4 linked regions of the Notamacropus eugenii genome follow. The protein of the gene in region 4 purifies or fractionates together with the protein of the main gene of each other region. This does not show direct contact. Links are inferred from orthologs where the notes say so. Each region holds a gene or a part of one and is shown on either strand. Other genes may lie near its edges.

Region 1 (8,174 bases), about 140 Mb from region 4:
TCTCTTTTCAATCTAATCCCTCTTGATGGCAGTATTGGGCATTACTGATCACCATCTCCTCCATATTTTCCCCTCTCTGAATATTCATGGCATGAGTCTCTTTACTGCTTGACTGCTCCTTCTATGACACTTTTGCCAATTCATCATCCATGTCATACTCAATGGGGTACAGGTGGTGTACCCCAAGGATCTGGGCCTCTTTTATCTCTATTTTCTTTCATCAACTCTCATGGGTTCAATTACTATCTCCATGCAGAGGACTCCCAGATCTATACATTCAGCCCAATTCTCTCCCCACTAACTGAATAAGCGGTACCAAATAGATGTCCAACAAACATCTCAAACACAATCAAAAACAGAACTCATTATCTTTCTGTCCAGACTCGCCCCTCTAGTAGAAGTCCCTGTAAGGGTATCTCTTGATTTGCAACCTCATTATTATCCCTGACTCTTCCTATTACCTTACATAGCCAAACTTGCCAAATCCTGTCATTTCTATAGAATATTTCTACAACATCTCTGAAGTCCTTTTCTGTCTTTCCACTCACACAACACCCTAGTTCAGATTGTTCATCTGAACCCTCCTCCATTCCAGTCTTATTATCTCCAGTCATCCTGATGAATATCTGGTCACTGGATTCAGATGGCTCTGAAGGAGAAGTGAGGCTGGTGACTTGCACAGCCCTCCCTCACTCAAAACAAGACAAGTGCAAGACATGTCATCATTTTTCTGATGGCATGGTCTTCTTCAGCAACGAAGGATGAACACACACCTGCCTTATTACGATGGCCTCCTATTTAGTCTCCTTACTTATGTGTCTTCCCATTCCAAACTTTTCTCCATAGACCTGACAGTGATTTCCCCAAATGCAGGTCTGACCATTGTCAACTCCCTAGTTAATAAACTCCAAGGTTTCCATACTCTCTCCACAATCAAATATTAATTCCTTTCTTTGGCATTTAAAGTCTTTCACAATGTGGCCCTGGCCCACTTTTCCATACTTATTATATATTACTTACTGGCTTCTTGCACTCTATAGTCTAGTCAAACTGGTCTCCTGACTGTTCCTCACATGCACACAAAAACAAAACTACACTATACAAATATGAACAGAAAATTAACGCACCATCTGTTAAGTAGAACCATATAAAGAGGAATGGATTTATACTGAAAATGTTCTCCTGGGTTGAAATCAGAGAACATTCACTTTTGCTTGTATTTGCATTGTATATGGTAAATACTTACACAAAGAATTATAACTCTAAATTAAGTTAGTATGCTCACTATTTATTGTATATCTTTCTACAGAAAAATATATTAAAATATATTTTCAAAAAAAAAATTCAATTGTTTGGCTAACTACACTGATCCCATAATAGATTACTAACCAAAATATTATTTACAGGACATACACAGGAAAATAAGTAAGTGCAAACAAGCAGGATACTCTCATTGGACTGACATTAAGCATAAAAACTGCTATGGTACTAAAAAATGTTTTAAATTTCAAAACATTTCATCTTTATCTCATCCTTTTCAAATTCTTATTTTTGTATATGTTTCATAAAGCATATTTGTACAGTAATTCATGCATATAATTTAAAAATACATATATTTTGGGGTGTTTGTTCAAAAAATGTTTAACTGATGGGACTGGGCACAGAATCAAAAAAAATTGGAAGATCTTGTGCCCCTTGGTTGTTTGTTAGCTGTTCGGTGGTGTCAGGCTCTGTGACCCCATTTGCAGTTTTACTGGCAAAGATACTGACTGGAATGGTTCCTTCTCCAGTTCACTTTACAGATGAGGAAACTGAGGCGAACTGGGTGAAGTGACTTGTCCAGGGTCACACAGCTAGTGTCAGCAGCCAGATCTGAACTCAGGAAGCTGAGTCTTCCTGATTGCATGCCTGGCACTCTATTTTGCCACTGCCCCTTACGTGGTACTTTTTCACAGGACCACGCCTTTCCCATTCCTCTTTCGCCAGCTATCTGCCTAGTTACCTACAAGAACTTGTTAATAATAATGGAAGTGATTCTCTTATACGTCTCCAGCTTCTCAACAACAGCCTTCGCTGCTGAGAGGCCTCGTAGCCCTAACCTCGGCGGACCCTGCTGGGTTTGGAGGCAGATATACCGCTCAACAGTGGCAGTCACCGGCTGCCACTCTGCGCTCTGATCTAAAGGGGGAGGCAGGGACGGTGGACGGAGCTTCCTAAGAGGGTCCTCGAGGCTCTTCACAGGTACCCACCTCTCGGACGTTGGGCATGTCCAACAGCTCCCCGAAAACGTAGACGCCTGGGGCCTCCAGCACCTGGTGGATGAGGGTGGCCAAGGCGGCGCCTTTGGCCGACTTGGCCAGAAGCAGGAACTGCTCCTGGTTCTGCCCTGTCACCTTCACCTCGGAGCTCATGGCTGGCCTGGGCGGGGGACCACGGGGCTCGGGAGGCCTGGAGCTGCAAGGAAGCAGGAAGGACCACGTGGGGGGAGGCCCTTACAAATGGAGGCTCGTCAGAGGAAAAGACTCGGACTAGTGTTGCGGGAGACAGGGGCAACCCCCGCCCCCAGCCGCCCTCTCGGGAACGTAGGGTTAAGGGGAAGGACTGGACCCTGCTGCTCTGCCAGCTCCCCCCCTTCGAGGGGAGGGGCGTGCGCGTGCGAGGCACGTGCCCCCTGCTCGCCTCCTGGCCCGCGTGACCCCCGCCCCCTTCTCGCTTTCCGCCGGGCTCCGCCCCCGCCCCTCCAGTCTCCCCCCGGCCCTTAAGGGGGCCGACCCAGGGGCTGCGGACTCTAGCCCAGCAGCCCCAAAGCGGGCTCTGTGGGGCAGCAGCTACCTGTCGCCTTCGCCCTTCGCGTGCACTTAGAGGGATGGCCCCTCCCTCACCTCCGCCAGCTGCTAGAAACCGTTACCACTGCCTCCCTCCGTGGCCACTCTGGCCACAAAACTCTATGACCCGCTCCCGAGGCCCCCACTTCCGCTCCTTTACGTCACAGGCTCCGGAAGTCTCCCGGGGCGGGATGCAGAGGGCTCTCCGGCCCTTTCTACGTTCTGATTGGCCATCATCGGGAGAATGGCAGGCGACTGCTGGGTTTTTTTTCTCCTTGACTTTCAAAAAAACTTTATTGTTTAGAAATGCTGTGTGATAATTGCAGACGCCTCTGGATTCCACAAGTTTGAGCGTCCCGCACTTCCCGTTAGGGAAAGCCTTCCGGGAAGCTGTCCTGGCGGCGTGATGGCGGGCTTACCGCGGTAGATGCTGCGTGGGCAAGAAAGGGACGGGGAAGAAAAGGAGACAGAGCCGGGAGAAGAGGGACCTTCGGGGCTGGAAAGGACCTTAGAAGTCATCTAGTCCGACCCATTATTTTTTCTTAAAAAAAATACATTTTACTGATGCCTTTTGTCTTTGCATCAGTCACTTCCTCCCCCGCCTCTACTAGATTGAGCAGTCCCGTGAAAAAGATAAACAATTAAGCGAAAACATGCACATCTTGCTTTGTCTGACGAGGTCTATGTCCCCCATTTCTCTGCAGTGAGGAAGGAGCTCTTCGGAGTCTGTTATTGGGATTTAAAAAATTGTTTTATTGATTATATTTTTTAATATCGATGTCCTAATGATTCTCCTCTCCCTATAGAACCTTCTCTTGTAACACGGAAGCATAGTTAACTAAAATAAATATTTTATAAACTAATATATTAGCCATGCCTGAAAATGCATTTCTCATTTTGTAGCCTATAGTCCACCATCTCTTTTATGAGACTCTAAAGTCATAATCTGTCAGAGTTATGAACTTTCAGTTTTATTTTCCTTTACATTATCGTAGTCATCACGTCAATTGCTTTGATTCTGCATCAGTTCATCTCAAGCTTGTTTGAATTTTTCCTATTTCTATTTCATTTGACACAATAATATTCCATTACATTCATATAACCAATGATCTGTTCTGACATTTTTCCAGTTAATATCGATTTATTTCCACATCATTACTAGGACAAAAAGTCTTCACGTTCTCTTCATTTTATTTTTTTTAAGGCTTTGTCTTTGTCTTTGTATTACAGCCATTTCCCACCCCTTCTCCTGAATGAATTTTCCTTTGTAACAAAAAAGCCATTAAGCAAAAACATCTGACCATGCGAGACATAGGTACAATAGTCTGTCCTCGAATCATCCCTCTGACAGTCAGAAAGGAGGTATGTTTCATCATCTCTTCTCAGAAATTGTCATTCCATTATTCCTTTTATTAAGACTACTACAGTGTTGTGGTTCTGTATATTTTTCTTTTACTCCTGCTTATTATATATTAGTTCATATAAAATCTTCCCATAGTTCCCCAAATTCTTCATGGTCAGCACTTTTTCACTTCATTCATATTCTATTACATGTAACAGCTCATTCTTTTAACAGCCTCCAACTGAGGAGCACCTACTTTGTTTTGTTTGTTTCTATCACAAAGAGTACTTGGTATTTTGTTATATTTTGGACCTTTATTCCTTGTCTTTTACATTATGTACCCAGCAGTGAGACTGCTGGGGCAAAAAGTATTAATTTAGTTACTTTTCTTATATGATTCCAACTAGAAATCCAGAATGGTGGTACTTCTTAGCTCTATGACTAGAATATCAGTATGCCTAACCATCATCCATAGCCTCTCCAATATTAACTCTTCTCATCTTTTTTCATCTCTGCCAATCTGCATGGTGTGAGTTTTTCTTATTTGCATTTCTCTTTCTATTAGTGATTCATGTTTTGATTTGATAAATGTGTAGTTTGCAGTTCTCCTCTTGAAAATTGTTTATTCATATCCTTTGGTCAATTATGTACTTGGGAATGGCTCTTGATGCTATAAATTTGTGTCATTTCCCTGTCCAACCCCCTTATTCAACAGGAACATAGACCTTAAGTGGCTGAGTAACTTGCCAATGGTCACACCAATAGTAAGTAGGATAGTCAAGATTTGAGCCCAGCTCCATTGTTCCACATTTTGTTACTCATTAATTGTGTGCCCATGGGGAGGTTATTTGACCTATGTCTCAGTTTCCTCATCTGCAAAATGACAAAGTTGAATTAGATCCTAAATTCCTTTCTGACTCCTAAGAGGGTATGATTCTATTTATGAACTGGGAGAGAGGAAGGGAAGTAAGGACAAAGGGTGATAAAAAAAAAAAAAGATAGGACAGCAGGTAGTAGAGATGAGAGAGGGATAGATGAGAGGAAAGCAGAAAAGGCAAATGAGAAAGGTGATAAAAAGTGAGGATAAAGAAAGAGGATAGAAATAGAGAAGACAAATAGAGAAACAGCAGAAGATAACAATTGAGTCTTTCACTTTGTACAGTTCCCCAAACAAGTAATTCATTTATTCATTCACCCAACAAAAATTAACTCAACGTCTGCACGGGGCATTCTGCTAATAAGGCTGAGGGGGAGCTTGGAAAACATAACTAATCAGAGAAAGAAAATGTCTAACAGAGACCTGAAGAAGAAAAGTACTGAGAACTAAAACAGACCTATTCAACCAGTCATCTACTGAAAGTTATGTTAAATTGTTATGCCAAATGCTGGCATATTGCTCAGTTTTATGTAAAGAAACATCACAGCACAAATGCGAGGATTATAAAAAATACCAGGAACAAAAGGGATTTAAGAAATGACTCTAAAGAAATGTAGCAAAATCAGCAGATGGAACTCAGCTAATGACCCAATGTCCTACACGCTTCCCTCCCCCCCCAACACATGGACATATATAAATACACAAATTTTACAGATTGGGAATACCCATTGCACATACACATATCCCAGGCAGAAACCCAGCATACACATATATCCAAAGTACATACTGAACATACACACATGAAAAGGGGACTTACATCTAGCATGGCACAACCAGGGTACATACCAACAGCAGACAGAACACACACTAAGTGTTCCAGTGTGCACAACTGACTCTTCTTCACTGAGCTGTGTGGAACAAATTGACAGAAACACAACAGCGTTTGATAACTTCTGGGAGCCTATCCTCAACAATAATCTCTCTTCTAATTCTGGGTAATAACCAAATGGTAGGCAAAGGTAAAAGATGGGAAAGAAGCTTGGCATATAACGTTAGATCCTGAATACGAAAATATTGATGAAAAAATTAAGAGAAAGAAATTGGGGGAAAAGAGATAGGGGACAGAGAGTTTTACAATCAGAGATGAAAATCATTCAATTAAGAAGCATTTATTAAGTGTTCACTATTTGCCAGGCATTATGCTAGATGTTTGGTTTCGAAGAGAAAAATAAAACAGTTCTTGATCTCAAATAGTTTATATTCTTTGTGGGTGTGGGAGTGTGTAGGAAAGAGTAGATGGAGAGGCAAATAGAAAATGAAAGACTAACCCAAGGATGGAAGAAGAAAAAGGAAAGAAAGGAGAGTGGAGGGTGATCTGAGTCACAGGAAAGTTTCCTAGAAGCCAAGTCCCTGCCTCATATATATCAGTAATTCCTGAGGGCTATACATTCACAACCCAGGAAGTTGTTAATAGGATTGGGATTTTTACACTGTTTTTCTAGGCCTTGTCCCAAGGAGAAGAAAGAAGGTGGTCTGGTAGGGGATATGAATTGAGATCACATGGAATTAAGTGATGCAGAACTGGGGTGCCAGAGTTCAGGTGACCCTGATGTGGGGGACATGAAGTGAGATGGAATTGGGGTGACAAAGTGGGAACATAGGAAGTTGGAACGATACTCAAATGAGGTGATACGCTTCTTATGGTGAAGAGTAGGTAGATATACTGAAAGTCATATAGGCACGACCTGGAATCTCAGGATGACCAACAGCCTTCCTCTACTCCACATCCCAGACCATCCGGGGATCCCCGGATCCCCAGCGGCATGGGAACAGGAGGGTTAAATAGTGCGTGGCAGGCGGAGACGGAAGGTCTGAGCTGACGCCTAGCCAAGACAAGACAAGACGAGCTGAGCAGAGCTGAACTGAGCCTCTGCCGCCGCCCCACACCCGGGGCGCCTCCTCCCGCGCCCCGCCCGCTAGTCCCCTGACCATGCGCCTGGCCTGGCGCCCCCCGCAGCCCCCTAACCCCTCACAGCCTCTAGCCCCCCTAGTCATCCCGAAACATCAGCCACGGAGCAGGTGAGTGCGACACCCTGCAACCTCCATCCCTCATCCCAGGTGCCCAGGCTCTGTCCTTCCTGGCTCCTGCGTCCTTTCCTAGCCTGCTTCTTTTCCAGCCCCCAATTTTCCATCTGTCTTGTCCCTATTTCTCATGCCTCCATCCCTCCTTCCCCATTTCTCTTTCCATCACCACCATCACCATTTCTATCCATCTAGATCCGCATCTTTCATTCATCCATCTAGATCCGCATCTTTCATTCCGTATCTCTATCTCCATCCTTTATTTTCCGGCTCCAGCTCTCTGGTCCCAGCTGTCGCCATCCCTTTTCCCCTCTCCTTGCCTGCATTCTCCGTCTCCCCATTCCTCCTCCCTTTTCCCATCCCTTCTCCTTCGCTCTCTTCCCTCTTGTTTTCCTTCTTTTCCTTTCATTGGCCTCTTCCTCCTCGGTGACTCTCCCCTTCACCCCCCTTACTGTCCATCTCTGGGAAATGCTCTGTCTAGTTTGTAGTGAGAGAATGGTTTGGGGATGGGGGCAGGCTCCTGCCCCACCCCCAAGCTTATCTCTTGCGCACAGACCTGTTGTGCTGAGCTTGGACAGGTGGGTGGGGGATGTGTAAGACGCTGAATCCGGGGGACTGCGGGGTTCCTGAAGGGGTTGAGAGGATACAAGGTGCTGGAGTTAAGATTGGGAGGACAGATAAGGCAACAGGAAGGTTTCAGTCAGCCCCTCAGCCCTGCTCCGCTTCATTGATTAGCAATCACGTTCTTCTCCTCCTTAGGAAAATTTGGAGGGGCAATTTCTGACTCCCGTATATTTTCTGTCTTGTGTCAGTTATTCTATTCCGCCTGCCCTTCCTCTTTCTCCTCTTCTCTACCTTGATCCATCTCCAGGACTTTTCTATCCTTTTTTCCTTTCCTCTATCATCTGCTACCATGTATCTTCTGTTTCCTTCCCTCTTTTCTTCCTCCCTATCCTCTATCATTGTCTTTCTCTCTCTTCTCTATACTCTCTCAATTCCTTTTTGCTTTTTTCTTTCCGCTATTTTTTATCCCTACCTATTTCCTTCT
Region 2 (7,077 bases), on a different chromosome or scaffold from region 4:
TTGTAAGGAGTCCAGTGGGACACACTAGCCAACCATCTATCCCTCCCGGTCAGAGAACTTCCTCTGGAAGGGACCTTAAGGGCATTATATTCTAGTGCCTTCATTTTACAGTCACTGTATGACAAGTTCAACCTTTTTTTTTTTTTTTGATGATATATTTCAACACTTCCCTGATGATATCCTTTACCCTGCCTCTCCTGTACCGTTTGTCTTTTATAACACACTGCAGCCTTCTCACATTCATTCACTGGCTTCTCTATTGTCCTCTGGGGCACCCTTGACTTCAGGCCTTCAGAGTGTGTATTCCACACCTTACAGCCATCCTACACTATCAAAAGGACCTCCCAATCAAATCAATATGTACTTTGATACTTGGTGAGTTCAGTACAAGAGTGAGCACAGAAATGCTAGAAAATGTTTCGAGAATAAGAAATAAGGAAAGCCAAAGATTTGCTGAATGTACAGATGTCACATATCTATATAAATGAAAACTTCAAGAAGATTTGGGAGGTTAATACAGCAAATGATATAACAAAAAATGAAATATTTTAACAGACAGAGAATCACTCATTACTAATGTGGGAAACTGTCTGTATCCAGTCAGACTACCAACTTGATAGAGCAAAGTTCAAAATTAATACAAAACTAGAAAGAAGACAAACAGGAGAGAGGAGGAAATAGGGCATTCAAGTGAAACAACTTCAACTACCACAGTTGCTTACTCTTTTAAAAATTCTGATCAAGGGTTTCATAAATAGCACGTAATAACTTCAAGGTAAAATTCTCTTCAACACTTGCAGTCCTGTGTCCTGTTCTAGTATGCAGGGATAAGGCAGAGACGATTACAAGGTTTAGAAACATATTATCTGAACAAAGGGAAAGGTATTGCCAGGTATTGCCACACCTTGTAGTCATTCAGGTACATAACAGCACCTGAAGCACAAAGTATCTCTCACAGTTTGTACAGTATGATGTACAATTAAGCCTTGATAAATTATTTTAATGAGGATGGTAAGATTGGTCTAGGACATTTCAAGCCAAAGATAATTGGTAGAAAATGTTCTTCTTCCTCGTGGCCAGGGCTGAGTATGAAATAAACAACATAAGCAGGTGCGCTGGCATTCCTTACTACATGAAAACTCCGCAGGTTGTTCCAAACTACAGGGAAGTGCACTTGCCCAATGATTCAGGGCAGTAGGTAGGCTGACTGCTGGTACAGTCAGGAATCTAAACAGCCCACTGAGTATTCTGGCTTCCCTCATCTGCCCTCTGGTGGAGATGCTAGTGAGCAGGAAAGCTGACCTAAGATAGGCAGTCAACAACACTGAGAACCTATTCAGTATAGGATATGTGGAGGATGGGGAAAGGCACTGGGGAGAAGGCGGGCAGAAATAAAAGAAACAAAAGGTCCTTTCCCTTTCATACAGCTGGGGAGAAACAGTACAGAAGCACATCAAAAAGAACATTCACCAAGCAACAAAAGGCCAACGACTGTAGAGTGGCGCCTCACTGATTCAGAGTGGAGGAGAAATATGATTTAAAAGTCTAAATTATGTTTTCCAAAGATATAATTTTATTATTTTAAGTAATAATCACACCTTATTGTAACTAGCTTATTACAGCTACTTCACAAAAGGACTTTCCCACAAGCATCTTGCTGGCATTTTCCTCCAATGCCATGAAGTAGGTAAGGGAAGCATTTCCCCTATTTTAGGGATAAGTTTAGGTGACTGCATCATTCAGCTAATGAGCAGTGGAGGCTAGAATCTCAATCCCAGGCTGGGTGGGTCTTGACACGTGTCTGCAATGAGACTCAGCAGGTGAAACAAACTAACTAGTTCTCAGGCTACATCGAGAGTCCAGAGGCATAAGGACCATCACACTGCGCTGCAGGGAGGCTGCTACAGGAATACTGTATCCACATCTGGGAATGGCATTTTAGGAAAGACTGAAAACTAGTGTTGCCTAGAGTCAAGGGCGTGTCGGGAGGTAAGTGGGCTGGTAATGCCATCCCAGCCTCAGGACCCAAGTAAGGCTGCTTAGCCTGGGAAAGACACATTTAGGGAGTAGAGGTAGCGCAGAAGTAAAGACAATTGTTTGGTGCCAGGAGCAAAACCAGGAGCGAACTTGGGAAGAGCAGAGATGTAAAGAGAAGGGAATCCCCAAGTCAGGAGCTTCCAACCCAGGCTGCCTAGACGGCCCCTGCTCGGTGGGTCGGAAGTTCCTCCACTCTTTCCACAGTTCCTATTTAGGGACAGCTAGGTGGGGAAGGGCATGCAGTGATGCACCTGCAGTTAGGAGGACCTGAGTTCGAAGACAGCCTCCGGCACCTTCCAGGTGTGGAACCCTGAGCAGGTCACCCAGTCTGTTTGCCTCAGTTTACCCAGCACTACAACGGTGACAGTTGCAGCCCCCACCTCTCCGAGGGGCAAGGACAAACTATTTATAAAGAAAGCTTCGCCAGCGCCTGCCACACAGCGCTGTACCCGATTAGCGTGTGCCTGCTACAGACACCAGGTTCATGCTATACAACCTACGTGGCTAAGCTAGGTCCGAAACGGGCACAAGTAAAACGATCCCAGTTAAAAAGGAGAGGAGGGAGGGGGATAAAAGCTGTCTGTGGAGTGGGTGGATGCCTCTCCTAGCGTCCAGCTCTGGAAGGCAGGAGGCGGCGCCATGGGAGGCAAAGATTCGGAGGCTCGATGGAGAGCGGGGCCAGGCACACTCGAAGGGGCTGGGCTCTCCGTCCCCGGAGGTCTTCGGGCAGGGGCGGCGGGGGCGGCACCGAGAGGCTCCCTTCCACCGCTCCACTTTTAGGGCGCTATCCACCCAGATCACCCGATAGAGGCGGGGCCCGCGCGGTGCACCAGCAGGGGGGGGGGGGGGGGTGCACCAGCAGGGGGGCTTGGAGGCGGGGCCCGCGCGGTGCACCAGCAGGGGGGGGGGGGTGCACCAGCAGGGGGGCTTGGAGGCGGGGCCCGCGCGGTGCACCAGCAGGGGGGGGGGGGTGCACCAGCAGGGGGGCTTGGAGGCGGGGCCCGCGCGGTGCACCGGCTCGGAGGAAGGGCCGCGCTGGCTCAGCACAACAAAGGGACTTTGGCCCTCGGCCTTGGACTCGACCCTAATTAGTTACACATCAACCCGGAGCCAAGGAGGGGGGCCGGGTACCTGGTCGGGGTGGGGAGGGAAGAGGGGCACGACCTTGGACCCTGCACGCACCCCGGCAGAGAAGGTCCACAAACACCCCGGGAGGGGTGCGGGAGGGGTGGGGGAGGGCCTCCCCCCAGAGCAACGCCAAGGTCCAGAGCGTTCCCCAGGGCCCGGGGCGGAGGGGGAGGGGCGGGGCGGACATCTTTAGGGCGGGTCCGTCTGAGCCCCAGCACACAGATTTAGGGGTGCCTGTCCTGGGAGTGTGGTGAGAATGGGCCACGGGGTGGGTAGGGCAGGCCGGCTGCCAGGCTCCGGCCTAGAAGGCAGGCTCGCGGAGCTCCACGCTGCCGGCCCACACCGTTGGGCGGCTACTAAAGGCACAAAAGCCCCTGGGCCCCGCGCGCAGGCCCGGGAGGGCAACGTGCTGGAAAGGGCGGCTCTGAGACCGTCTAAAAAGTGTGGATCCCGGGGAACTGGCAGCTTTAGGGACCGACTTCAAATGATGCCGCTGGTGCTCGGCGAAGGCCAGCCCCCAGGCGCCTGGCTAGCAAATCCGCGACTAGGTATTAGCATATCCCGCCTCTCCCTTTCTCCGCCAATCAGCACCACCCCAGAAGAATCCGCGGCCGCGCCTACCCTCCGCGTTCCCTACCTATCCCAGCCCTCGGAAACAAAAGTCAACAAGGTTTCCCCGTCCCCTCCAGCCTCGCCCCGCCCTTTCACCCGCTGTCCTCCCCTCCTCCCCTCCACAACAAGCTCACTTAGTCCCGCCCACTCGTCAATCACTCGGACCCGCCATCCGGCGAGCGCACTCGGGTGGGCGGGGCCAATTGGCCGATCGCGTGACGCAAGCGGGAGGCGAGCCCGGGAATCGGAGCGCTGCGTGACGAAGCCGCACAAATCTGTTAGAGCCGTTAGGAGAAACGCCGTGGATAAATATAAGCCGGGCCTCACGTGCCGCCCTCTCGCCTAGGTTTTATGTGCTGCCCTTGGTGAGTGAAGAGTCGCGGGCCAGGCATTAACCCCTCTCTTGGGTGGGAGGAACCCTAACCTCCCCCCCCAACCCCGCGTACACACCCCGGACATACCACGTGGCCCTGAGCGGGAGGGGGAGGGCGGTCAGAGGGGAGGGGGAGGGCTGCGAAGCCGGATTCTAACCTCATTGGCTCTCGCCTCCGCCGGCTGTAGCAGGCCCGCTCTCTGATTGGTGGGCAGGCTGCTTTCCTCCAGGAGAGCTCTGATTGGCGGCCTCCCGGGGATCTCCCCCTCCTCCTCCCTTCCCTTCCCCCTGGAGCTCGGCTAGGTGAGCTCGGAGGTGAACCTAAGGAATCTCCCGGCGAGGGCTGCGACTCCTGGCGTTGGAGAGTGATCGCCGCCCTCCCCGCCCCTTTCCGCAGGCTGCAGCTCCGTCGGCCTCCCTGGAGCCCTGGGAGCTGTCACTGGCGGAGGGGAAGGGCCCCCTGCTGTGAAGAGGCCCCGGCGGAGGGCTGGAGGATGCAGTGACCGGGAGATGGACTCGCCGGGCAACAGCAGCGCCTCGGAGGCCTCGCCGTACGGGAGATATGAGCCTCGGTACAGCGAGGAAGATGACGATGTGGATCTGGCCTATTTCCTCCCCAGGTAACTGGCTCTGCGCCGTGCGTGGGCCCCCACGTGGGCCCCCAGCCCCGCCATCCGCGCGGAGCCCTGCCGGCCTCGGGGCCCTTCCCCAAGAGAGGGCGGCGCTGTGCGTGGGGAAGGGGGCACAGTGACATGCCCACTGTGGTAGTGAGGTGCCCGACTTGCCAAGTAAGTAAACAAAGGGGAAGGGAAGGGGGCGGGGCTCCGCGAGGTCGTGTCGGCCGCGACCGTGGACTTGAGCTGGAAGATCCCTCCGCAGTTGTTTGTACAGGCAGAACTCTTCTGGTGGTCAGGCATTCCGCTGCTGACTTTGGCTCTGGAATCTCGGCTGAGGTTGCCAGAAGTCTGCTGAGATACCTCCCGAGAGCGGGCTTCTGCAGCCTGATGATGCCCAAAGCTCGTCCTCTTGGGGCCCCCGCTAACAGAAGGGCACCCGAGATTCCCTCTCTGAGGTGAAGTGGCTTAGTATTGAGGGATCACCCCCTGCCATGAGGTCTCTCCACAGGGGCCAGGTGAGACTGGTACAGGGAGGTGGTGCCACCAGCCTGCAGCTCATCCATACGCTCTCTGACTCAGATGATGACAATGACAGCCCCTGGGAGGGTCGTCTTGGTGACAGATACAACCCACCTGGTAAGAGGAAAGGGTGCTTGGCTTCCAGCATCGTAGGCATCAGTCGGCCCAAAGTCTGGCTCCGCAGGAGGTGGGGAGAGAGATCAGTTAATGAGATGAAGAGTCCTTTGAACCTCATACCTCCTTCCATCCTCCTTTACGCTGGTCACCTTCCTGGCCATTCATCCTCATTGACGTCTGTCTTCTGTGACTGAAAGGCTGAGGCAGGGTTGCTGCTTCTTCTTACAGTGGATTCAAACCCAGACACCCGAGAGCTGGAGTGCAATGAGATCAAGACGCAAGTAGAGCTGGCCACAGGGCAGCTGGGATCCAGTAGGATAGTGCAGGAGCAGAGCTTTCCTCGAATGCTGCACCAGGTAGGCTCCCTTACCTGCACTGAGCTAGGCACTTTGTGGATAAAGAACTGATTTAGAGTCAGAAAGACCTGAGTTGGAACCTTGTCTCAAACATTTGCCAGCTGTTTGACTCTGAGCAAGTCACTTACCCTCTCATCCTCAGTTTCCTCATCTGGAAAATGTGGATAGCACCTGCCTCACAAAGTTTCAAGGCTTGATCAGCTGGTGTATAGAACGCACTTGGCAAATGTTAGAGTTCTGTAAATGTGTTAGCTATTTGGGGGGTACAGAAGGGCAGTCAGAAGTTCTGCCAACTACACCTGGAATGAGGTGAACTCTAGAGAAAAGAGTTTGAAGCTGGCAGCAGAAGTACCTCGTGTATGGTGGCCTTACTCTCTTGTCTCTTCCCTGCAGAGAGAACGTGGCCTCTGCCATCATGGCAGCTTTTCTCCTGGGGAGCGATCCCGTGTAGTGTCTCAGTAAGTTTGGGACCAGGGTACTCTCATTTTGAATTTAGTGGGACCAGATTTGAGGAAGGTCCAGAGGACAAGTAGATGGGACCATACCATAAAATTAGAAGTGGACATATTAATAGGGAAAGTTGGAGTTGTTAAAGTTGGGAAGGAAGGGTAAGAGTTACTGCTATTGGAGGAAATGAGAAAGTTAACCGCTGTTGAGTAAGGAATATAATTTTTTTTATTAAAACTTGGTAGTATGGATAAGGAAAAAAATTCTGAGCAAAGGGAAGAGGGACCTCATGTACTGGTGTATCTGGGGTGCTGTTGACACCAATACCTCCTTACCTTGATGTCCTCTTACTGTTATTTTTCTCCTTTTTCTCAGTTTCTTGCCCAATTACTTGAGCTTCACTGACTCCTATTTCCATAAGGCTTTCTGTGGCGTGTACAGCAAGGATGGTCAGATTTTCATGTCCGCTTGCCAAGGTACCTAGACCCAGTGACCACTCCCTTGAATGGGGAACCACGAACCCAACCCCAGCACAGAGAACAATTTCCCATCAGCCCATAGATTGGGGAAGCCTCTGTTCCAAGATGCCTTCTGGTTGGGAGATGTCAGCAGGATGTAATTCTGAATACCCTGCATCAGAAGGAAGATCTCATAGCTGTAGTAGGTGGCCAAGGGTGAAAAGAGAAAGTTTCCTGAAACCTATCTATTCCCAATTCTCAGACCAGACAATTCGACTGTATGACTGCCGCTATGGCTGCTTCCATAAGTTCAAGAGCATCAAGGCCCGGGATGTAGGTTGGAGTGTTCTAGATGTAGCCTTTACGCCTGATGGGAACCACTTCCTCTATTCCAGCTGGTCTGATTATAGTGA
Region 3 (7,080 bases), about 260 Mb from region 4:
TTGGTATAGATATTTCAAAATCTACTTAAATTTTTCAACCTATCAAAACACCTTAACCTTGAAGCAAAAGCATATACAGTTTAAAGTTATTTTGAACATCTGACCTTCCATCTAATCAGTCTAGAGAGTATATTCACTTATTAAAAGGTACATTGGCTAGAAAAAAACAAAAAAGACTGAACACTGTAACAACTGGGTAAAAACATCAATAAATATAACAGCTTTTTAAGTAGTCATGTAGGCATCAAGTAAAAGACATTGATGGATATAAAGATATACAAGAGTCCCACTCACTGATGTGCTGGTGACTGAAAATAAATGGCATATGGATGCCTGGTAGTTAATTTTTAAAGCATCACAAGGTCCAGAGTCATGTATGACTATAGCATTCTTGTGGAAATACAAATAAGAGAATTTTTTAAAAATATCATGTGTGCATTGTAGAAATGTTCTTTCACAAGCTTCTACCAACCATTTGTAAATACATATTCCTCAAAGAACTGTGACTATCTTAAGGATGGAGTCTATTCATTAATATTTTGCCTGAACTTCATTCTTTAGTGGAAATTTATTCCAAGTGGAGTAAAAGGCATAATCTTTCAAAATGTAGACATTATTATAACTTGACATCTAATTCAATACAATTCAGCAAACAATTTATAAAGCACCTACTGTTTGCTGCAAGTACTGTCCTAGGTTATGGTGATACATAGACCTAACAAAAAAAAAAGGCCCTTCTCACAAAGTAGATTCTTTTTAAGAAACACAAACCCCAAGTTCCAATAAATCACGTCGGACGCGTCCTCCGATGCTCAATGCTGTGCTTGGACAAGTTTACTTCTCCCCTTCCTTCACTCTACAGTACGTGCACTCTGGCCTCCTGGCTGCTCCTCAAACAAGACCCCCCATCTCCAGACTCAGTTCTTCTTCCAGAGCTGTCCATCACGCCTGGAATTCTGCTCCTGCTCGTCTTCTCCTGGCCTCCACGTCTCCACTGAAACCTCCCTTTCCCGGTCCTCCTCAATGTGAGGGCAGTGCCCTGGGCTTTCCCTCGGTTTATCCAGGTCCTAGCGGGTCTGCACCCGGCTGTTCGCCAGCTGTGGCCCCCGACTAGATGGTGAACGTCCTGATAGAAGGGGCAGCTTGTGCCTTTCTTGGTATCTCCACCACTTAGGACCGTGCCTGGTACACAGCAGGCTCTTAGTAAATACTCCTAATAAATAAACACTTAACCTGACTCTGGTCGGGCTAGGTCAGAGGCAGACGTGAATCCTAAATTTGAAAGGAGGGGGCAGCACGAATCTAATGCGGCCTCCGGACAATTAAATGTCCAGCGGGCAGGAGCCTAACCTAGCAAAGCCCTTGGGGGGTCCCCCAAATGAGGCGAGTTTGAGGGGGGCGTCTCTGCAGGTGCCAGGGGAGGAGATGGGGGGCAGCCCCAGGGGCCGTGCATTTCCTTGCACCCTGGATCGGGAGGAGGAGCACCTCGTCTTCTTCTTGGGGCGCTCGAGGGAACAAAGTGAAAACGTTTCTTGCCGCGGGGCGCCCTAAAAGCATGACCTCGGGCCCCCCCATCCACACATGTGTAGGTTACACGCATGCACACAGATGCGCGTTATATTTATACCCCACACCCTCTCCCTTCCTCCTCCCCCTCCCTGCCTCCCTCCGGAGGAAATGGGGCCAAGGAAGGGGCGGCCAAGGCCGCCGGTCCAGGGAGGCCTGGGGCCTGGGCCCAGGCGGTTTTCAGGGCCCCCTCCTCGAACCCCGCCGCCGCCCAGGAAGGCTGGCTCGACTGCGCCGGAGGGCCCCGGCCCTCGGCGGGGTTACCTGACTGGAAAGGCCGGGCGAGGGGCGGGGAACAGGGAAGGCCGGGCCGGGCTGGGGCTGTCAGCTCGGCCCCCTCCTCACGGCGCGGCCGTGACTGCGCTGCCCCCGCGGCCCCGGGCCCGCGGGCGGGAGGGTGGGAAGAGCCCCCCCACCCCCGGGGCAGGGGGGAATCCGGCGCCAGGGGTCCGCCAGGGCCGGGGCGACCCCCGCGCGCCCGCCACTCACCAGGCCTCCCGCGCGGGCACAGGGACTAGTTGCGGGTCTCCGCCGTCCGAGGATGCCCCCGGCGCGGAGAGGGGGAGGGGAAGGGGGAAGGGAGAAGGGGAGGACCCGCCGCGGGCTGGGTCGGCTGGCCGCTGTCTCGTCCTCCTCCTCCTCCTCCTCCTCTCTTACCCCCCCACCCCCGTCGTCTCTCCCGACTCCGACCTCCCTCCCGGCTCTCTGGGCGATGGTAGAATCCGAGGTACGGCGAGCGAGGAGGGTGCAACTTAGTGCGATCGCAAAAGGCCGCCGTAAATAAATAAATAAGAGAAACGGACATGTGAGCCGGCTCTATCCGAGCCAGGGAGCCCAGGGAACCGGGAGTCCGCAGCCGGCCTGGGCGACGCGTGTCTGCACCGGAAAGGGGGTGGGGTGGGGGGGTCTCCCGCTGCCATTCTCCCACGCCCCAGCCCCCGGGTCTCTGACACATCCACACGCCCATGACTCAGGGCTTTAGGGTTCCGGAAGTTAGCGACGCCCAGGTAGGACCCCAAGTCAGCTATCGCACACGGGGAGGGGGGGTCTTTCCTAAGGCCTTCCCCCTCCCCCCCCCCCCCCCCACTGAAATTCACAAACTTCCCAGACCCGCAAAGGTCCCTCTCGCTCACCTCCAGAAACACCTGCGGCTTGATTTCCCCATCCTCACTGCCCCAGAACCGGGCAAACAGTTGGAAGACCTCGGGGTGATTTGGTACCCACCTTGGTGGGGGAAGGGATAAGCATCTATTAAGCGCCTCCTCTGCCAGCCACTGGGCTAAGCCCTTTCTAAATATTGTTTTACAATAATAGGAAGACATCGAAGTGTCATTTTCGGAAAACATGCCTACCTTTATTTTTAGAATCGGTTCTGGAATTTTAGATCAGATCTAGAAGGATGGTTTCTTAGAAATCACCTAAGCCAAGCCTCCTTTTTTACAGATGAAAAACTGAGGCCGGGAGCTGGGAAAATGACTTAGCAAAATGGGGACAGTTTTGAAACACAGTTACTCTTGGCTTCAAGTCCAGCCCTCTTTTCATGAAAACTTATCATCATTGTTTCTACCTGCTGAGAGTTGATATGCTTTCTAGCGAACAGCTATTTCAGTTTTTAAAATAATTTAAAAAGGAATCTTCAAAAACTTTATATGCATTTTCATACTTAATATGTATCTCACTTAAACATCGTTACATGCATTTATATATACTAAAATATATACTTAATGCCAACAAGCTCTTTCCCAAATATAAAACTACATATAGATATGTAGCCTGATGCCTACAGCCATAAGATACTAGTTCTTTCCCCTGTCACCAATATAATTGGCATGAATGCTATAATGTAGCTTCTTCATTTAACCCTTAAAATTCAATCTCTCTTGAGCAAAGGAATAAGGGAATCTGGGTTGTCACTTAGCTCTCACAGTCTCCATGTTTTCTCATCTGTAAAATGAAGGGACTGGACTTGGAGGGTCTCTAAGGTCACTTCTGGGTCTAAATCATATATTCCTTTCTTTGTTACTCCTTTGAGAACCCCAAACCATATAAATTCCTGTCCTGGCTTGGTAGAGAAACAAGGAGACTGATCCAATCATGACTTTTATTCTTGACTTTCTACTTCTTTTCCACAGTCGGTCTTCTCCAATATTACCTTGCAGTCCTAATCCATGGGACCAGGTGTATCCCAAATACACTGAATCTGTAGTACACCTCAATTTGTAAAAGCTTGATGCTTAAACACAGTAAAGTTTCCTCATCCAAATTTATCTTATTTAGATAAAGCATTTATTAATGTTTACCCTGTCAGTAACTGTGCTAATCCCTGGGGATACGAATACAAGCAAAAAAAATGGTCTCTTCCTTCAATGATCTTACCCTTTAATGGGGGAAAGCAATCCATGGCTAACACTGGTAGGCACTCCCTCAAATGGAGGGTCCCAAGAGAACCCATAAAAGAGGTCACAGGGATAAATGGGTCTCTAACATGAGAAGATCACTAGGAAGGAAGTGGAAAGGGAGTCAGGAGCATCAGAAGTGAACTAGGTTATAGGGGAGCATTTCTGGCACAAATACTTCTTTAAATCTAATTTTAAATGCTGAATTTGCCCTATAGATCACAGGTTCAAAAACATAGGAGACCTAGCTTTAATATATACATATACATATGTGTGTGTGTGTGTGTGTGTGTGTGTGTGTATTACAAAAACATTTGCATTATATAATTGGAGAACTGGCCAGTAAGGACTCTTTCTTAAATCATGGTTTGGATTTTCCCTTCCTAGTAGGTTATATAGAACATGCATAGATATTTCTTGCCAGGTTCCAGTCTCACATATGAAACTTATGGGAACTAGTTTCCAGACATGGGTGACAAGTCCTGTATGGTGACTTAAGAGTCTTCTCGTTGGCTGAAAAACCAGAGGGATGGATGACTCAAGGGAGTGTGAGTCAGAACTGAGCTTGCAGCAGATCTTTATCTCTCTTCCTTGATGGCTTTTAAGTAAGGAAGATTTCTTCCAGTTAACTGGTAGTGGAGATGACCAAGCAAGAGACAACTGTCTATTACCTCTCCCAGAACAATAAGACTTTTGTTTCTTTCCTGATCTTTGGTGAATGAATCTCCTGAGATGGGAATCCCTCAGTGACCTATGATTGGAGATATCCATGAGAACAATTAGAGGGGTCTCGCTGGCAACCAAAGTCAACAGCAGAACTTGCCAGAGTAGTAGTGACTTCTGGAGATGGGAAGGACTCCACATGTTCTCTGTACTTATTTTGGCAGCTAGATGGCACAGTGGATAGAGCACTGGGCCTGAAATCAGCAAGACCCAAGTTCAAAATCTGACCTATGACACTTATATAAGCTGTGTGACCCTGGGCAATTCACTTAATTTCTGTCTCAATTTCTTTGTCTGTAAAATGAGGATAATTATAGCTCCAACCTCTCAGGATTGTTGTGAGGATCAAAAGAGAGAATACTTGTAAAGCACTTTGCACAGTGCCTGGCACAAAGTAAGTACTACATACGTGTTAGTTATTTTTATTATTAGGGTGCCTCATACCCCTTGAGAGTTTGAGCTCTCTGTCCAAGGAGAACATGCAAGGGGAAAGTATGTCCCAGGTTTGGGAGTTGGGGTGAAAGAATGTTTTGTGACTGTTCTTGCTATACCTTGTTATACCCTTTTTAGAAGCTATTAGAGTTCTTGTGGTTAATTTGTATTGAGATATACAACCTGCTTTGCAGACTGGCTGAAGAAAAGCCTGGGAGCCTTCTGATTGGAGGAGAGCTGAACTTGACTGTAGGTTTAGCTCTTGCTCTCTACTGCCATCTACAGATATGAAGAGGTGAAACTTCTCTGAAGTGCTAGCTGGTTCCTCCTCTTATCTCTAGTGGGCAGAAAAAGAGACTTGACACTAATAGGAAAGTGCAACGTTCACTGGGCTTGTTTGCGTTGCCCAGAGATCCCAAGGGTGGAGCTTTGCAGTTGTCTGACTGAGAAGGAACTGCTTGTCTTTAGACTTTATGGTGCTTGTATGATACTTTCTCAGGGCCTTCTTTAAGGGTGATTGTGAATTGAAGGAGCTCACCATTGTTTCACCAGTTCAAAAGTGAGTAAGGAGAATATTTGCTCAGGGGTAAGGACCAGAAGGAGAAAAATCAGTAAAAGTATCTTTATGTGGGCCAGAATGATCCTTAAAAGACCAAGAACATCAAGATCTGTGGGTCCAGAGTTTCAAGCTTCCCTAATCACATGGTTGTCCTCACTCATGTGTCTCCCTGCTAGGTTTCTGTTATTGTATGGCTACTCTTCCCCATAAATACTGTGAGCAATAGTAGGAGAATATTACCCAAGCTTTTGAGTTAATTTTGATGTATTGATTATTTATGCATTACCATATACTGAGTAACTGCAAGTATTAAGTATTATTTTCTTTGCCTTCTCATTAAGCAAATGTTTTATTTTTAAAATGGTGTCATTGTGATACATTTATTTTATGTAGCTGGGAATGAGTGGTGGAGGCTGATGAACTACAGTAACATGTAGAGAGTATTTATCCCTCATTCCCTGCACAAGAGTTACTCTTAGTACCACGAGAGATACACATTCATCTAAAATCAGCAAAGAATAATAATAATAAAAAAAAGAACAGACACCATGGGTTCAGGGAAGTATCTCTTCATTTGCTTCCTCTTTGCAGGTGTCTGACATGGCATATGTCAGCTCCTATGATAAAGATTCTGTTTCTCCTCATCCTGTCACACTTGTATTCTAAAGATGGTATATTTTTAGATAGCCTATCTTAAACATCTAACTAGCTAGGTTAATTATACATTACATTGTGGGATCCTCTCCTTGTGTCTTAAGCCTAAACCAACCTTTTGTTTAAACTTTACTCCTCTCTTTGACTGGTCTTTGTTCCTTAATAACATACAAACGTAACCAGATAGTACCAGATAGAAGGTGTGTATGTATTGGGTACTTGGTACAAAACTATAATATATGATGTTATATACCATGGATTTGTATGTTAGGTATACATATGTATATATATTTGGCCTACAATATATAGAGGGTATAAACAGGAGAGCTTTGGAAACTTGATGAGGTTTTAGTACCCAAGATTGAATCAAGAAGCCACAGTGTCTGAGGCCACAGGCTTTATATACATAAACACACACACACAAACATATATATAAATATATGTGCAATGCATATATTATATTTATACAGTGAATGTGACAGTATTTTCACATGACTTAGCATTTGGTATTTTTATAAATGAAGGGGAGTAGTGGTAATAAGCAATACGTATATATGTCTATATAGACATATAAGCTTGCCTGGTTCCCTATTATCTCCTGGATAAAAGATAAAATTTTCTGCTTGCTATTTAAAGTCCATTAGAACCTGGACCCTTTCTGCCTTTCCAGTCTTCTTACACCTTACTCTCTTACATAGTGTATGATTCAACTATACTTGCTGTTTCTAGAACAAGATATTTCCTGATTCT
Region 4 (7,969 bases):
GAAAGCCTTAAGAATTAGGGAAGTAAAAACATGGGATCTCACTAAAGGTTTCTCTTCCTTGAGCAAAGTACTTATTCAAGAACTGATGCCACAGAGTAGCAGTTAACAGAGATGACAATAAGCTACCCAATCAAAAAGCACAGTAAAGACTCCTATGTTCCAGGCACTGCTATAGGTCTAGGGGATACAAATAAAAGGAGGTAACAATCCCTATTTTAAAGAAGCTTTTAATCTAGCAGGAAGACAAAAAAGACACACATATATGTGTAATAGTTCATAAACCTTAGTGACAATTCAGTTAGACCATCACCACTTATTTTGGAACGAACTTACTAATATGAAGTGAATTAACCTCTCTAAGCCTCAGTTCACTCATCTGCAAAATGAAGGTTGGAAGAGGTAATAAATATGATTCCTTCCAACTCCAAATCCTTTGATCCTTTGAAGTACTGATAAATGAAGAGACTTGCTCAACATTAGAATACATATCAGCAGCTGAATTGACATAACAATTTATGGATATACAAAGCTTTACATTATTTCATTTGACTTCAAACAATGCTATGAGGTAGTTACTGCAATTATTATGCCCATTTTACATCTGAGAAAACTGAGGTCCAGAGAGATTAAATGACTTAAGGCCACATAGGTTAAGAAACATGAAAATGGAACTTAAATCTAAGTGTTCTGATTCCAAGTCTAGTGTTTTTACTATTGAATCATGATCCCTTTATCCTCACTCCACTATCTAGTGTTCAATCCTGCATGCCTTACTTAAGACATGAAATTAAGTAAGGATATGAAGAAATGAGGCACAAAGTGCCTCTCACAGAATTGCCATCTAAGAGACTTTGAGATATCTTGTCCAATTCCTAAGCAAATCATGGATCTAATCTACAACATCCTTGACATGTGGTCACTTCCAGTGACAGGGAACTCACTGCACTCAAAGGCAGTCTAGTCTAGGTTTGGGGCAGTTCTAATTAACAGGAAGTTATTCTTTAGATTTCACTGAAATATGCCTTCCTGTATCTCCTTCAGCCCAGAGGTCCTCATTCTAGCCTCTTTAAGACAAGCAGAAAAAGTCTAAGCATTCCACATGCCAATTCTTCAGTACCTCAAAGAAGCTGCCACATCCCCTGTACTGTCTCTTCTTTAACCTCACTATCACCAGTTCCTTTAATCGGTCATCTAATGATAACTCCCGTTACTTTCGGGACACATTCTAGCTAGTCTAAATTATGGCACACAGAACTTGGCACAATAATGTCATGATGATCTCAACAGGGCATAGTGTAGTGGTATATTATAGTAGTATATTATGTCCCACACTATTGACATTACCTTCCTTTTAGTGATGCCTAAGATCACATCAGCTCTAACACAGAGCTCAGAGTTCATTAAAAGTCCTAGATCTTCACATTGCTTTCTCATTCTGTACTTGTCTAGTTGATTTTTCGAACCTAGGTCCAAGACCCTATATTTATTTCTTCATTTCATCCTATTCATTTGGCCACCAAATCAGGCTATCAAGATCTTTTTAGTTTCAGCTTCTGTCATCCTAGGTATTAGCTAGCATCAACAACAAATTTGATCTAAGTTACTTCAAGTAATGGATTAGAAAACTGAATAGAATTGGACCAAAGCCACAACTCTGGGGTGTCACTAGTGACCTCTCTCCAACACATTAATCAATACTCTAGGCCCATTTAAACTGTTCTGTCATTTAGTTCATTTAATCTATAAGGATACGGTCAGAGACCTTGTCAAATTAATTCTACTCATCTAAACCCCGTTAAGAGAGGAAATGAGATCAGTCTGGTATGACTTGTTCTTATAATAACAGCTCACACTTGGCTCTCCAACGCTTGCAAAGAGCTTTACACACAATATCTCATTTAAGCCTCCCTTTTAGGGAGGGCTACAAATACAAGCGTCTCTATTTTATCTCTATTACTTTAATCACTGCTTTAAGGATGAAAAAAATTAAGGATCAGGGATTTGAACTTAAGTCTTCCTGACTCCAAACCTACTACTTTCACCAAACCACATCTCCCTAAAGAATCCAGGCTGGCTCTTAACAACCACCTCTTCCCTAAGTGCTTTGAAAAAAGGCCTCCTTTTAATAATTTTGTTCAAGAACTCTACCAGGCATTCTCTTCCTTCCACCCTTAAAAACTGAACTCCGTGCGAAAGGGCTTGCTTAGCAGGAGAGCAAGGCAAACAGGGCGGCAGACATTCCATCTCCCGTGGCCATGCTTTTGCACAGGCTGTGCCCAGTGCCCAAACTCCCTCTCTACCCGCCTGCACCTCCTGTAAACCTTAGCTCAAGCGTCTGTAAGGGCGTTGGGGCACGCACCCTTCCGTACTCGCAGGGAAAGGCAGAGGTCCAGGTAACTCAAAGGATACCGAGAGCCTTCTTCCCCACAAGCTCCCGAAGCGGAGCGGGCAAGACGGACAGACGCTCGGCCAATCACGGCCAGGGAAGGGGCGCCCCGGCCGCCAATCGCCGAGCAGGAGAAAGCGATGGCGGAAGTCACCGCCCAGCAAACTGTCAAGCAAAGCGCCTCTCGCTCCGAGGGGGACCCGGCCCGGGCGCCAAGAGGGGACGGGATCCGGGCTCGGGAGCGGGAGCAGAGGAGGGAGAGGGCTCTCTCCTCCCCGCCTCCACGAAGCGCTGCTGGGGGCGGAGCTGGGGCCCGGGGGGAGGGGAAGCCTTCCCGGGCAGACCCGCCTGCGGAGCCGCCGCTGGGCCCCTGCCGGAGCCGCAGCCCGGCGCGGGAGCCAGGCGGGAGGCGGGAGGGCTGGGCCTAGGGGAATGAATGAGGCTGCAGCGGGACGGCGCCTCCCCCCTCCGGGGCCCCCCTGCCGGCCGAGGAGAAGGAGCCACGGCCCAGGGGAAGGAGTACGGGCCGGGCCGGACCGGGCCGGGTCCGGCGGCCTGGGGCCTGACCTTGAGCCGAGAGCTGCCGGACGCTGTTCACGAACTGCTCCAGGGCGGACGCCATGTTCATCCCGGGGAGGAAGGGAGCGGGGAGACGGGGGGAAAGGGCAGAAGGAGGCCCAGGCGGCAGCGGCTCCTCCGGCGGGAAAAGCTTGGAGCTCTGTGGACTAGCAGCGATTGACCGAGGTGGGGGGGAGCCCCTCAGGAACTCCCGCCTGCCGTCACTTCCGCCGAGCTAGGTATCGCGAGATTACAACCGCGCGGAGCCTGGTTACCGTTGCCATGGAAACAGTTGTCCGCCTCCTCGGGAAGCGGGTGGTGGGAGGGAGAGGAGTGTGGAGAATTGGAGATCCGGGCACCTGCCGTAGCATCGCCAGGGGATGCCCCTAGAGGTGGAGCCGGAGAGGACCTTGGGGGCCCTCTCGTCCAGCCCTCGCCCGCCTCTTCATTTTACGGAAGGGGAAACTGAGGTTCCGAGCCACGAAGATCGAACCCAGGTGCTGGGCTGGCTCTTCCCGCAGCGTATACCTGGGGATACACCTGAGATACCTGGTTTACGTGGAAACGGCCTGTTCGAAATCGAAGACCTCGAGAATTCTGTTGTTGTTGTTTTTATATGTACAATTATGTATTATATATGTGTATGTATGTATGTATGTAGGCGGCGCAGTGGTTAAAGCGCTGGATCCGACCCCAGACGCGTCCTTAGTTTGTATGATCACGGACAGGTCACCCACCCTCTCAAAGGCGAAGTGAGCCCTTACCTCCCACGGTGAGATATCCGTAAAACACTTGGCAAACGTCCAAACGCCGTGTAAATGCTACCGTTCTCCAGGACACCACCAGCTCCTAGTCACCCAGGCGTCCTCTTGGCCTCCGTACTCCCATGCCCCACATCTAATCTGTGGCCAAGTCTTTTCACTTCTACTTTTAGAACCTTTTGGAACCACAACTTCCTACTCTGTCAGACGCAGATCATGACAGCATCCACCTCCCAGGGTGGTTGTGAGGGTCAAATGAGAAAACTGTCAAGGGCGTAGCACAGTGCCATAGAAATGTCATCATCGTCACCATCATCACTTCTAACTGTCCAAACTCCCATTTCTCTTGTGACACTAGGGCAAACCTGGCATAAGCCTTCATTACCTTGTCCCTGTAATACTGCAGTAGCCTCTGGTTGCCCTCCGCCCACTCCAGCTTCAGCTGTCAAACCGATGTTCCTAAACTGCAGATGTGACCATGTCACCAGCACCCTCCCGCTCCTCATTCACTAAACTACAGCAGTCCCTGTTCTCTGCAGGACCAAATATACAAATCCTTTCTTTGGCTTTTAAAACCCTTCATAACCTGACCCAGTCCCACTTTTAGAGTCTTCTTTAAAATAAATTTTAATTTTTTGTATTATCAAGCTTTTTTTTTGGTCTCCCACTTCTCACCTACTGAAAAAGGGAAGAAGGAAAGAAAGGAACAAGAAAGAAATGAAGAAATCAAGAAAGAAAAAACAACTCACGTCATATAAGCATAGTCCAGCAAAACAAATTCCCAAATTGACAGTGTCCAAAAATGAATTTGTTTTTCTGCATATATGTCCATCATCTCTCTGCTTTGTTAAATCCTTTACCCCTCCACATATTCTGTGATACAGGGAAATTGGCCTCTGTGTTGTTCCTCCCACAGGACATTGTTCTTTCCATTTTCACTGTCTTTCTCCAAGACCTAGAATTCTCTCCCTAGTTTCCACTTCGTGACTTCCCTGTTTTCCTCCAAGTCCCAGCTAAAATCCTATCTTGTACAAGAATTCTTTCCTACCCCTCCCCCAAATAAAGCTAGTACCCTTTGCCCAATGATTATCTCTTAATTCATCCAGTCTTTGGCTGTTTGTAATTGTTTGCAGGTTGTCTGTCTAGAAGGTGAGCTCCTTGAGAGCTGGGGCCATGTTTGTGTAAATACTAGTTGTTGGATGGATGGATGGATGATTTCTCAATCTGACTCCAGGCTGATTACACATTACTAATAATTAATCCTTTCCATTTCTGATTGAGCTTCACTGGTATACTTGGTGTTCTTCAAACAATATATCCTTTCTCTTTCTGACCCTTTACACCGACGGTTTTTCTCCATGCCTGGAACACTTTGCCTCCTCATCTCCTCCTCTTGGTTTCTCTGACTCCCTTTAAGCCTCTGCTCAAAGTCTGCTTCCTGCAAAAGACCTTTCCCAACCCCTAAATCATTCAATCCTTCTCTTTCAGATTACTTCCCTTCTACTTTGTATATATCTTGTATTTACCCAGTTATGTATATGTTGTCCCTGACATTATAATTTATGCTGACTGGGTTTTTTTGTTTGTTTTTTGCCTTTCCTGACACAGCTTTTAATAAATGCTTGTCAGTTGACAGACTGACATTACTGACCTTTACATATGACATTCTAGTCAAACTAGCCTACTTACTGTGCCCTCTACACAACAGTCCATCCCCTGAAGCCATGCTTTTGCATAGGCTGTGCCCAGTACTAGAACTCGTTCTCTACCCACCTCTACATTTTGTAATCCCTAGCTCTCCAAAGTTCAGTTTAAATATGAGCCCCTTAGAGTCCTTTTCTGATTTCCCCAACAGTTAGTGTCAGTGGTTTTGTATTTATATACTGTCTTTATTATATTTGTATTTATATTTGTATTTTTGTATCCTGCTTGTATTTGTTTATCTGTAAACATATGTAACCCTATGCAGAATATAATCTCCTTAAAGGCCAATGAGTGAGTAGTAGCTCCTCTCCCCTCCCCCCACTTCCTCTCTCCTCTCCTCTCCTCTCCTGTCCTCTCCCTCTTCTCCTCTGTTCTCCTCTGGTATTCTGCCCAGGGGAAGATAAACTCCGTGGCCAAAACCTGCCTTTTTTTCTCTGGGTTTACCAGCTACATTTCTTGCTCAAAGATCAAGCCTTAAACCCAATTCACTCTGGAGTCATAGACTGGACAACAAGTCCCCACCCTCCTAGCACAAGAGTGGATGTAATAACTAAATAGTAATTGTTTCTCTTTTACCAGGAACCCTGAGAGTCTTCCCCTTCCAGTTTGATTTTTTTTTTTTATTAAAAGGGCCATCCTTAGAGTAACTTAAAGAAGGCTATTCATTGAATGGGTGTATCTCACTCAAAGTAAGATTGTGATAAGACCTAAGCCTGAAAGGTCCAGGGTCTCACATTGCATCCTGGACCATCTCCAGTCATCCTGATGAATATCAGGCTACTGGACCCAGATGGCTCTGGAGGAGAAAGTGAGGTTGGTGACCTTGCACAGCCCTTCCTCACTCAAATCAAAGTCAACTGCAAGTCATGTCATCATCCTGATGTCATGGTCCTCTTCCAGAACGAAGGACAAACACAATGTTTTTGTATCTCTGTACCTGGTATGCAGTGGATGCTTAATAAATGTTTGCTGATTGAGGGTAGGCATGAACAAAGTAAATTGAAGTACATTACAAAGAAAGCACATACAAAAACGGGAGCAGTTCAAAGAAGTCAACAAAAATATATATGACTGAAAAAATAGGCTGGTCACATTGTCAAAAATGAGGGATAACTGATGGATAGCCCACATACTGCTCTTCTCCAGATGTTAGGAGAGTTCAAGGAAGACCCCCAGCATATTGGGTGGTCCCCTTGTGTTGAATTTATAAGAAGAATTAGATAAAATTTGTATTAGCTGGGCAGACATGAATGAGTTGCCATATGTTGCTGAAGGGCAACCTACATCAATGAAATCATTAGAATATTTAAACTATAGGCTTAACTGACACAGAAATGAATATTAATCCTTTTTCCATTTGACTACCCCTCCCCCATGGTGGTGCTTCACAAGGGTTTCCTGAACTCAGTGGGAAGGTTAGGATAGTTAAAATTTAAATAATTCTCCCAATGCAATGATTCTGTGAAAATAATACTGGGTAGGTTGAAGAGACTGGTGTAAAGAGAAAGTAAGGAAAAATTATAATAAAAATGACTGATGGTGTGAGCCTTAGTGGTTTGAAGAATGAGGATGGCATTATAGAAATAACTAGTCAGGGGGAAGAGCTTTTGGATAATTGGGCAGAAAAGCTTCAAGACTGAAACCTCCTCTAGGGAAAAACAGAGTGGCCAGGAGGGATTCCAGAACCACTAAGACAAGGAGTGTGGAACATGTGACCTCAAGACTACAAATCTTCAAGTTTGGAGGGCCACAAGTTCTCTGCCCCTACACTAGGTCATTTACCTTTCTTATACCTCAAGTACCTTGTCTGAAAAATAAGGGTATTGGGCTAGATCACAAGTGTCAAACACAAAACACAGATCAAAATGTAGTTTGGTAATGTTTGGAAAAATAAATAAAATGCAATAAAACAAAGATGATATTAACCTGTTTTTCCTAAGTCAATATGCAGCCTGCATGGATCTTTATATATGTTTCAGTGAGTCTGACACCACTGGACAAAGCCATCTTTAAAGTCTCTTCCAATTCTAAATATACAATGCTAATCACAGGTTATTATTTCAAAACTGAACAGCATCTGTTTTGGATCAACTGTGTCCTTGCTCAATAGTTTTGCAGAAAAGTTTGAGATCCTTACTTGACCCTTCACCCTTCCCAATGTACATATGAAAAGATACATGCAAAACCACATCAGGTGCCATATAAGTACCAGAAGAGTACTAAGAAATAGAAACATGTATAGGAGTAGTGAGAATGGAATTAATTCCATATCTGTAAATGGAAAATATAGTCTATATATTTCCGACAAGCTGCTCAGGTTGGCTTTCATCCAAGACTATTATGCTTCCCCCAGGATAAACTAAACAGAAATCTCATCATGGAGATTGCCCTTGTTTTGATCTCTGCCTTCACTTGCCTCTCCCCTCTGACTGCAAGATGGAAAAACTCCCACAGCCTCCCTTTACCAAGGGCTCAGAATTTCCCAACCAACTTTCAATTTCTCGCCAGCAGCTCCCCTTGGTTTTCATTCCACAGACTTGTTGCCTTGAAGCCCAGATAC

The links.
Region 1: the proteins of COPS3 (region 4) and COPS7A purify together in Homo sapiens (affinity purification with mass spectrometry; 14 studies listed by BioGRID and IntAct, counting the BioPlex papers as one, with this or other methods). This does not show direct contact. The link is inferred for Notamacropus eugenii from reciprocal best matches to the Homo sapiens genes COPS3 and COPS7A.
Region 2: the proteins of COPS3 (region 4) and DCAF11 purify together in Homo sapiens (affinity purification with mass spectrometry; 3 studies listed by BioGRID and IntAct, counting the BioPlex papers as one, with this or other methods). This does not show direct contact. The link is inferred for Notamacropus eugenii from reciprocal best matches to the Homo sapiens genes COPS3 and DCAF11.
Region 3: the proteins of COPS3 (region 4) and CUL2 purify together in Homo sapiens (affinity purification with mass spectrometry; 5 studies listed by BioGRID and IntAct, counting the BioPlex papers as one, with this or other methods). This does not show direct contact. The link is inferred for Notamacropus eugenii from reciprocal best matches to the Homo sapiens genes COPS3 and CUL2.

Annotation. Positions count from the first base shown.
Region 1 is NC_092874.1:194,984,467-194,992,640, reverse strand, and holds the start of COPS7A (COP9 signalosome complex subunit 7a), read right to left. Parts: upstream 3,014-8,174; 5' UTR 2,833-3,013; intron 2,455-2,832; 5' UTR 2,412-2,454; coding exon 2,250-2,411; intron 1-2,249.
Region 2 is NC_092878.1:9,161,440-9,168,516, reverse strand, and holds the start of DCAF11 (DDB1- and CUL4-associated factor 11), read left to right. Parts: upstream 1-3,972; 5' UTR 3,973-4,142; intron 4,143-4,412; exon of another isoform or gene 4,413-4,547; 5' UTR 4,548-4,660; coding exon 4,661-4,770; intron 4,771-5,275; coding exon 5,276-5,403; intron 5,404-5,631; coding exon 5,632-5,759; intron 5,760-6,152; coding exon 6,153-6,217; intron 6,218-6,581; coding exon 6,582-6,682; intron 6,683-6,926; coding exon 6,927-7,073; intron 7,074-7,077. UniProt on the Homo sapiens protein: May function as a substrate receptor for CUL4-DDB1 E3 ubiquitin-protein ligase complex.
Region 3 is NC_092874.1:75,148,284-75,155,363, forward strand, and holds the start of CUL2 (cullin-2), read right to left. Parts: upstream 3,054-7,080; 5' UTR 2,919-3,053; exon of another isoform or gene 2,700-2,918; intron 2,296-2,699; exon of another isoform or gene 2,056-2,295; intron 1,922-2,055; exon of another isoform or gene 1,831-1,921; intron 790-1,830; exon of another isoform or gene 772-789; intron 1-771.
Region 4 is NC_092874.1:334,073,364-334,081,332, forward strand, and holds the start of COPS3 (COP9 signalosome complex subunit 3), read right to left. Parts: upstream 3,203-7,969; 5' UTR 3,015-3,202; coding exon 2,954-3,014; intron 1-2,953. UniProt on the Homo sapiens protein: Component of the COP9 signalosome complex (CSN), a complex involved in various cellular and developmental processes.